Sus scrofa: one gene and its partner. Each later gene encodes a partner of the first gene's protein in a complex. Links are inferred from orthologs where the notes say so. Each region holds a gene or a part of one and is shown on either strand. Other genes may lie near its edges. The genes, in order: KATNB1 and KATNA1.

Region 1 (3,808 bases):
GTGCTATGAAAGAACCAGCTCTCTCACCAGCTCCAACCAGGGGCCTTCAAATCCTTTTCCGTGGGAGGAGGTGGGGAATGAATCCAAATGGCCCAACTGAATCTGACAGCAGGGGGATGGGCCAGTGGGCAGGGGAGGCTCAAACTCGGGCCTGTGGGCTTCTTTTCGCTTTCTCACACAGGCTCCCTAGAGTTCTGTCCCGCGGCCAGGCGACCCCCTGATTTCTGAGGACCAGCCACTGTCCCAGCCAGCCGCGCTGTCCTGGGCTTTCCTAAGCAGACGGCTGGGGGAGGGACTGAGGTGCTGGGTGCCCGAAAAGCAGCCCACTCCCAGCCCTAACCCTGCCCACAGCTGCCCCCAAGCCCCGCCCCGCCCCGCCCCGCCCACAGCTCCCCGCCCCGCCCACAGCTCCCCGCCCCGCCCCGCCGGCCCAGCCTCACCATGATGCAGTTGGGCTTGTTGACAGACCACAGGTTGACCCGGCAGTCATCCCCGCCGGTGGCCAGCAGCCGGCCTGAGGCTTTGCCCAGCACCAGCGAGGACACATTGCTGGCGTGGGCCACGATCTCCTCTACACAGGAAAGAGCAGAGGGAAAACGCAGTCAGAGGCCTGACGGACCACACGGAGGAGGGCTGCCCTCCCGCTGGGCACCACCAGCCCTGGCATCTGAAGTCCCTGCAGCTCTCCTTTTGGTGCCAGACACCCCTCTTGAGCTGTGGGACAAGATGGGGCTGGGGTCTGAGATAGAAATGACTATTTCTCAGTTTCCATCATTTTCATCCCACCCTTAGACCTCAGGGTTTTTTTTCCTTGTTGCCACATATCAACAGGTACTACTGCTGACTAGTCACCACATTCAATTTTTTAAAATGACTTGCTCTTTCTACTTAGCTCTGCCTTTTAGGCAATAATAGCCACATAATTACAAGTTCAATATGTTCGTTACATTTTTTTCTGAGACGAAAAGAAAGATGAAAACAATTATTAAAATAAAAAACACTGACCTATGTGCCCCCAAAGTGCCTCTCAGCTGTTGCTCGCTGTTTCCGCTTGGGGGGACACACTTTCAGAACCATGCAACTGCAGACAAACTGTCCAAGGTGAGCTCAGCCAGAACAGCTTCAGAGTTATGGACCGGGTTCTAGTCTGAGCTCTGCTATTGCAGGCTGTGTGGCCTTAAACAAGTCACTCACCCTCTCTAGGCACTGAGCTCCTCGATGGGTAAATGGGGATAATAATAGTGCCTGGATCAACAGGCTGCTGAGGGTGTAGTGAGGACGGGCCTGGGAGCTGCTGTGAGGGGGCTGAGTGCCCGTGGCTGCTAGGCAGGCTGAGGCCATAGAGCGGGCACTGGGCTCAGGGGGGTGGGCTGTGAGAGGGGAGCAGGAGGGAGCCGACTGGGGGGCCTGGATGTGAGGGCCAACGAGACAGAATGGGAGGCAAGGTCACCACGGGCAGCCACGAGGGCCCGTGGCCTGGACTAGGGGGCTGCAGACCTAAGTCTCAGAGGGCATCACCAGGGCCCCAAGGGAACAAACCGCGGGCAAGGAACCAAGAGGCAGCCCAGGCCTCCAGCCACAGCCTGAGCAGCTCCTCCTGAGAACATGGAGGGAAGAAACAGGTCTCCTCACAGAGACGAGGGAAAACCCCAACACGCTGATGCCCCGAGGCAGGCAGCCGAGAGGCCCGACTGGGTGACTCCGAGGGATGACTCCAAGAGAGAGGGTGGCCCTGCAGAGGCCCCTCCTGCCTCCACCCAGCCTGGGGTCTCTGTGGCGCCGGCCTCAGACTGCAGGGAGGTTAGCAGACAGGGACCAGGAAGGCTGCTTGTCAGGCGGGATGGCTCACAGGGGCTGTCAGTACTGCCCAGGGGACCAGGCCTCAGGCTCAACCCCACCGACAACAGCCCAGGCACCCAGCCCCCGCAGGATGAGAGCTGGCAGCAGGCCCAAATGTAACCTGGGGCCTCAGGGACCCTGCCCCTGGAGGCGAGAAAGCTGGGTCTCTCTCCGGTCCGCTCCTCAGCCACAGAGCCCCCTGTCCTCTGGACACAGTGGCACAGATGCCTAGGTGCTCTGGGGCTCGGGCTGCAGACACTTGTCTGTTCAAGGGCTTCTGCTGGGCTAAACTGGCTGCCCAGCCCAGAGAAAGCATAAACCACCCCCCCCCCGAGCACTGTGTGCCCGGCCCGGGGGCCCCCTCCTCTTCTCTGGATGCTCCCTGCACACGCCGCCCTCTGTGTATGACCCACCTGGAGGCGTGACTGCCTGCCCACCCCAGCTCACACCCTTCCCAAGGAAAATTCTGGCTAGGCCGCACCACCCTGGGCCTCCTGAGAGCACTGCCACCCCGCTCTGTACCTCAGGACTTCTAACCCCTGGGGACAGCCATTCGTCCATATGTACATTTTCCCAGGTGCCGCTCTAGGCCTGGCGCCGAGGGACGGTGGGGAGGGAGAGTGATTAGGTTCCTGTCTTCACTCTACGGCCTGATCAGATGGTTCCCAGGACAGCACCCAGCTGGAAGAACCACAAACTTGAGGGCGAGCAGAATTTGGAGGCTGGGCCCTTTCCTAGAAGGGCTCAGACCACTTCCCTGCAAGCAGCCTGACCAGGGGACTGAAAGGAGCTCCTTGAAGGACTAGGGAGGGCGGAGGTGGGCACACCTCAGGCACCAGGCAGAGGAGGCCTTGGCACAGGGCACTGGCCCAAGAGCACCCCTTCTGGCCTGAAGGACCATACTCACCAATGGCCAGGACCGGGTACCGAATTTAAATGCCAACAAATAAAAAATCCTCACCACATCTACTGGCAAGCCAGGCTGATGGCTGCTGCTCTACCTTGTGTCACAGGCCCACGCCAGCTGCCCGGGCTCAGGTGGCACAAGCTGGGCCCTACATCCCAGCCACTGCTGGGGGAACACAGCATTCTGGCCAGAGACACTGAGCACTGGCAGAAGCTCAAACGGAAAGTGCGAAAGACTAGGCTTCACCCGGGCCTCATGCTGGCCAGACACCTTCTGATCCTCCCCAGATTCTAGAGCCACAAGGAGCCAGGGGTCATTCCGCCTTGGATTCTTCAGACAATTTATACCTGCGGAAACTGCCGTGCACATGAAACTGTCAGCAGATGCTCAATATGCCTGATCACATCACCTCCCACTTGAATGCTTTGATGGCTTGCTCTTGCCTTTCAGATAAAGCCAAAGCCTCAGAAGGGCCAGGGTCCTGTGGACATGTGTCCCTGAAGACCTTGCCAGCCTATGGGGCACCACATTCTCCACACTGCTACGTCACTGCCCATGGCCTCCTTTGAGACCTTCCATCGCACCAAGCTTCCTGCCTCAGGGCCTTTGCACAGGAGGCTCAGGCACAGCACTTCCCCATGCCCCACCCCCACATCTAGTTCACTGATTCAAAGCATTTGTTTCTGCTTAGAATCAGAAAAGGAGAAATGGCTGGGTGTGATTATCTCATTCCTGCCTATTGCTTTCCCCAGGCTCTGAGCCCCACAGCAGAGAGACCTTAGCTATTTTGCCCTCCCTCTGCCAGGTTCTCTCCTGGTTTCTCAGAAAAAACCAGCTGTTGAAGGTATAGACACATAACCCCAATAAATACAAAGCTGCTATGTCCAAAGTGCACCCTCCTTGGCAGCCCGTAAGAGGATTCTCCCAGAACCCTAGGGGCTGAGGAACAGTTTGCAAATGGCCCAATCCTCTTGTCATTTAAAATGAGGATGCCAAGGCCCAGGTTCTCAGAGTTAATAAGTGGAGAAGTCTTGTCCTGGCTTCTGAAAACAGCCCAAGGGC
Region 2 (3,808 bases), on another chromosome or scaffold:
TTAACCCACTGAGCAAGGCCAGGGATCGAACCCGCAACCTCATGGTTCCTAGTCGGATTTGTTAACCACTGTGCCACGACGGGAACTCCTTGATATTCTTTTAATGGATATAACCTACATAGTTAGCCATGCTCTTATTGGTTGTTTTTCCCTTTTTTGTTGTTAGAAATAAAGTGAATATTTTCCTGCATTCATGATTACTTTTTTTTTTCCTGGTTATGCCTGCAGCATATGAAAATTCCCGGGCTGGGGATCGAATCTGAGCCATAGCTGCAGCAATGCCAGACCCTTAACCCATTGTGCTAGGCTGGGGATCAAGCCCACACCTCAGCAGTGACCCATGCTGCTGCAGAGACAATGCTGGATCCTTAACCCACTATGCCACAGTGGGAACTGCTATGATTACATTTTCTTAATTTCAGAGTAGAACTAATAATAGATAGGTCAAGTTGTGTATTGCTGCTCTTGGTGTTTTTGGCCACACTTCTGGCATCCACAAGTTCCCTGGGACCAGGGATCAAACCTGTGCCACAGCTGTAACCAGAGCCACAGCAGTGACAATGCTGGATCCTTAACCCGCTGAGCCATCAGGGAATTCTGATTAATGCTGTATTTTGATAAAACTCTCTTCTCTGATTATTGCTCTCTTTGAAGTTTCCAAGAAACAGACTAATTTTTCATTTATCCTCAATATCCAAGGATATCAGCTATCTCCTTTCAAAAGAGAGGTGGTGGTCATTTGCCTTCCACTATTTCCACCATGTAACCATACTGCCCTGCAGACAGCTGTGTCTGCTATCATGTTAGATCTTAGATTTCAGTGACCTCAGGTTTTTCATTTCTTCTTGGGTTCATTTATTGCCTTCGCTTCTTTAATTCATAGGCTCTTAACTTACACACTATGTGTGTTCACCTACAGTTGGACCAACTCCAAGAGCTGATACGATTTTCATGATCTTGTGTTTGATTAGACCCTCCCCAGGACCTAGAAAACGTCAGTCTCCTCAGTACAGTGACGCCAAAGCACACGGTAATCGTCCAAGTACGGCTGTCAGAGGTCACCGTCCATCTACACACAGTCTTCACAATGACAGAGGGAAAACTGTTCGTTGTCGGGAAAAGAAAGAACAGAATAAAGGAAGGGAAGAAAAGGTAAATGTTACTGATTTTCATAAGTGAAAGAGTTATTTGTCATCCTTAAAAATGAAGACAACAAATTTTAATAATTTTTAGTAATTATATCTGCTGCTATAGTAAAGCCATAGCCATTCTCCACCTAGGCTGGGATTCTTCCCACTCACCATTCAACAAATATTTTTTGGTGCTCTTTGTAACTTTCTTTTTTTTTCTTTCTGGTCTTTTTAGGGCCGTACCCACAATATATGGAGGTTCCCAGGCTAGGGGTCGAATCAGAGCTGTAGCCGCTGGCCTGCGCCACAGCCACAGCAACACCAGATCCGAGCCACATCTGTGACCTACACCACAGCTCGTGGCAATGCCAGATCCTTAACCCACTGAACAAGGCCAGGGATTGAACCTGTGTCCTTGTGGATACTAGTCAGATTTGTTTCTGCTAAGCTGCAACGGGAACTCCTGTAACTTTCTATCTTGATGTAATTTCAGTCTTGCAAACAAGTTGCAAGAATGGCATAAGGAACTTCCACATACTCTTTACCCAGTTTTATTAGTTAATAGCCCCTTTTGCTTTATCATTTTCTCTCTGCGTATACTTTTTTTTTCTAAAAGCATCAAGAGTAAGTTGTGGAGGAGTTCCTTTCATGGCTCAGCAGAAACGAATCTAACATCCATGAGGACACAGGTTTGATCCCTGACCTCACTCAGTGGGTTAAGGATCCAGTGTTGCTGTGAGCTGTGATGTAGGTAGAAGATGCAGCTTGGATCCTGTGCTGCTGTGGCTGTGGCGTAGGCTGGCAGCTGCAGCTCCAATTCGACCCCTAGCCTGGAAACCTCCATATGCTGCAGGTGCAGGCTAAAAAAGACAAAAAAAAAAAAAAAAAAAAAAGTTGTGGATATCATGCCCTTTTACCCTTAAATATTTTAGGGCTGATTTCCCAGGTATTGAGGCATTCTTTCACATAAACTCAATGCCGTGATCAAAAATACACTGATATAGAACTGTTATCTAATCCACAGACCTTCATAAAATTCTTGCCAGTTATCCTAATAATGTCATTTATAGTTTTCACCAGCCCCCTCCATCCCAGGACCCACTGTAGAAGCATGTGTTACATTTGGTCATCCGTGTGTTTAGTCTTCTTTCGTGTGAACATTTCCTCAGCCTTTATCTTTTTTGTCCGAGTGTTTTAAGAGTTATTTTGTAGCATGTTCCTTGATTTGGGTTGGCCTGATGTTTCCTCATGATTAGATTAAGGTGGTGCATTTTTGGCAAGAATACCACTGAAGTGAAGTTTTGTTCTTCTGAGTTTATCATGTAATGAATGAAGCACAGGATGTTTCTTTGTTCTATTGCTTATGATAAATTGGGTCACTTGGTTAGGATGGTGTTTGCCAAGCCTCTCCACGGTAAAGTTACTCTTTTTCCCCTTATGGTAATTTGTGGGGAGATACTTTATGATTATATAAATATCCTATCTCTCATTAAAATTTCACATACTGGAGTTCCCGTCGTGGCGCAGTGGTTAACGAATCCGACTAGGAACCATGAGGTTGCGGGTTCGGTCCCTGCCCTTGCTCAGTGGGTTAACGATCCGGCGTTGCCGTGAGCTGTGGTGTAGGTTGCAGACACGGCTCGGATCCCGCGTTGCTGTGGCTCTGGCGTAGGCCGGTGGCTACAGCTCCGATTCAACCCCTAGCCTGGGAACCTCCATATGCCGCGGGAGCGGCCCAAGAAATAGCAACAACAACAACAACAAAAAAAAAAGACAAAAAAAAGACAAAAAGACCAAAAAAAAAAAAAAAAATTTCACATACTTGTCCTAGCCTCCAGTGATTCTTGCCTGAATCAGTTATTCCTTTGATAGTTGAAATATAATTTCCTAATGCCATTATCTCACCTACATTAATTAATTTACATTGAACCATAAGAAAGAGTTCTCTCCCTTCTCCTTGATTTAATTTTATCACTATGGACTCAAGGATTCTTATTTTATTCACTGAATTAAAGTCTGTCACTGTCTTTTTGATGCTTAAAATTGTTCAAGATTTGAGGAGCAGTAGCCTCTTGAAACTGGATCTTAAGTCTTTTTGAATTGTAGTCACTGTTCTCTGAGCACCTCCTCATTTTCTGACACGATAGGATGTTTCGGGCTCTTACTGTATTTCCCCCATTTCCCCAGGAAACTCTGGTTCCTACTGATGGGAAAGAGATTTAAAAACTAAGCTTTCAGTGCTAATTAATATTAATTGAGGGCTTGTACTCCCTTGGAGTCAGAAGCATGTGGGAATCTAAGGACTCAGTTTCTGTCGCTTCTGCTTCCACCTTTCCCTGTCCCCTGCGAAATGCTAAAGTACAGGATAACTTGTCAGACTTGCAGTACCAAAAGGACCACTCCACACCACCTGGGCAAAGGAGAAACTGGGTCACAGCGAATGTAAAGCCCCCAGTGTGGCCCATCTGTTCCTCTTCAAAACATTATATTAGCCCCTACTCAAAGTTCTTTTTTCTAAATTTGCAATCTCTGTAATTCTGCTTGAGAACCTCATCCAGTAACCAGCCAGCTGACACCTCTGAACACAACTGTCTGTGTTGATAAAAGTACAGATGTGCATGTAGCTCTTCCTTTTTCTTGTTCTTTTCTTTCTTTTTCTTTTTTCTTTTTGGCTACAC

The links.
Region 2: the proteins of KATNB1 (region 1) and KATNA1 are in contact, whole or in part, in a crystal structure (PDB 5OW5), measured with the Mus musculus proteins. The link is inferred for Sus scrofa from reciprocal best matches to the Homo sapiens genes KATNB1 and KATNA1. Residues at the interface, in NP_083081.2 of Mus musculus: Leu485, Val486, Asp487, Glu488, Ala490, Met491, Gln493, Ile494, Arg495, Gly497, His498, Met501, Phe502, Val504, Leu505, Thr506, Arg508, His509, Leu512, Asp513, Val515, Arg516, Trp519, Thr521, Asp542, Leu543, Ile546, Gln549, Lys550, Leu553; in NP_035965.2 of Mus musculus: Leu5, Gln6, Ile8, Val9, Val12, Arg16, Ala19, Leu20, Leu21, Gly22, Tyr24, Tyr31, Tyr41, Leu50, Lys53, Trp54, Gln56, Val57, Glu60, Ile61, Val63, Glu64, Gln67, Val68, Asp70, Ile71, Thr74, Leu75, Ser77, Phe78.

What each region holds. Positions count from the first base shown.
Region 1 is NC_010448.4:19,633,219-19,637,026, reverse strand, and holds part of KATNB1 (katanin p80 WD40 repeat-containing subunit B1), read right to left. Parts: intron 572-3,808; coding exon 441-571; intron 1-440.
Region 2 is NC_010443.5:16,340,563-16,344,370, forward strand, and holds part of KATNA1 (katanin p60 ATPase-containing subunit A1), read left to right. Parts: intron 1-971; coding exon 972-1,152; intron 1,153-3,808. UniProt on the Homo sapiens protein: Catalytic subunit of a complex which severs microtubules in an ATP-dependent manner. Microtubule severing may promote rapid reorganization of cellular microtubule arrays and the release of microtubules from the centrosome following nucleation.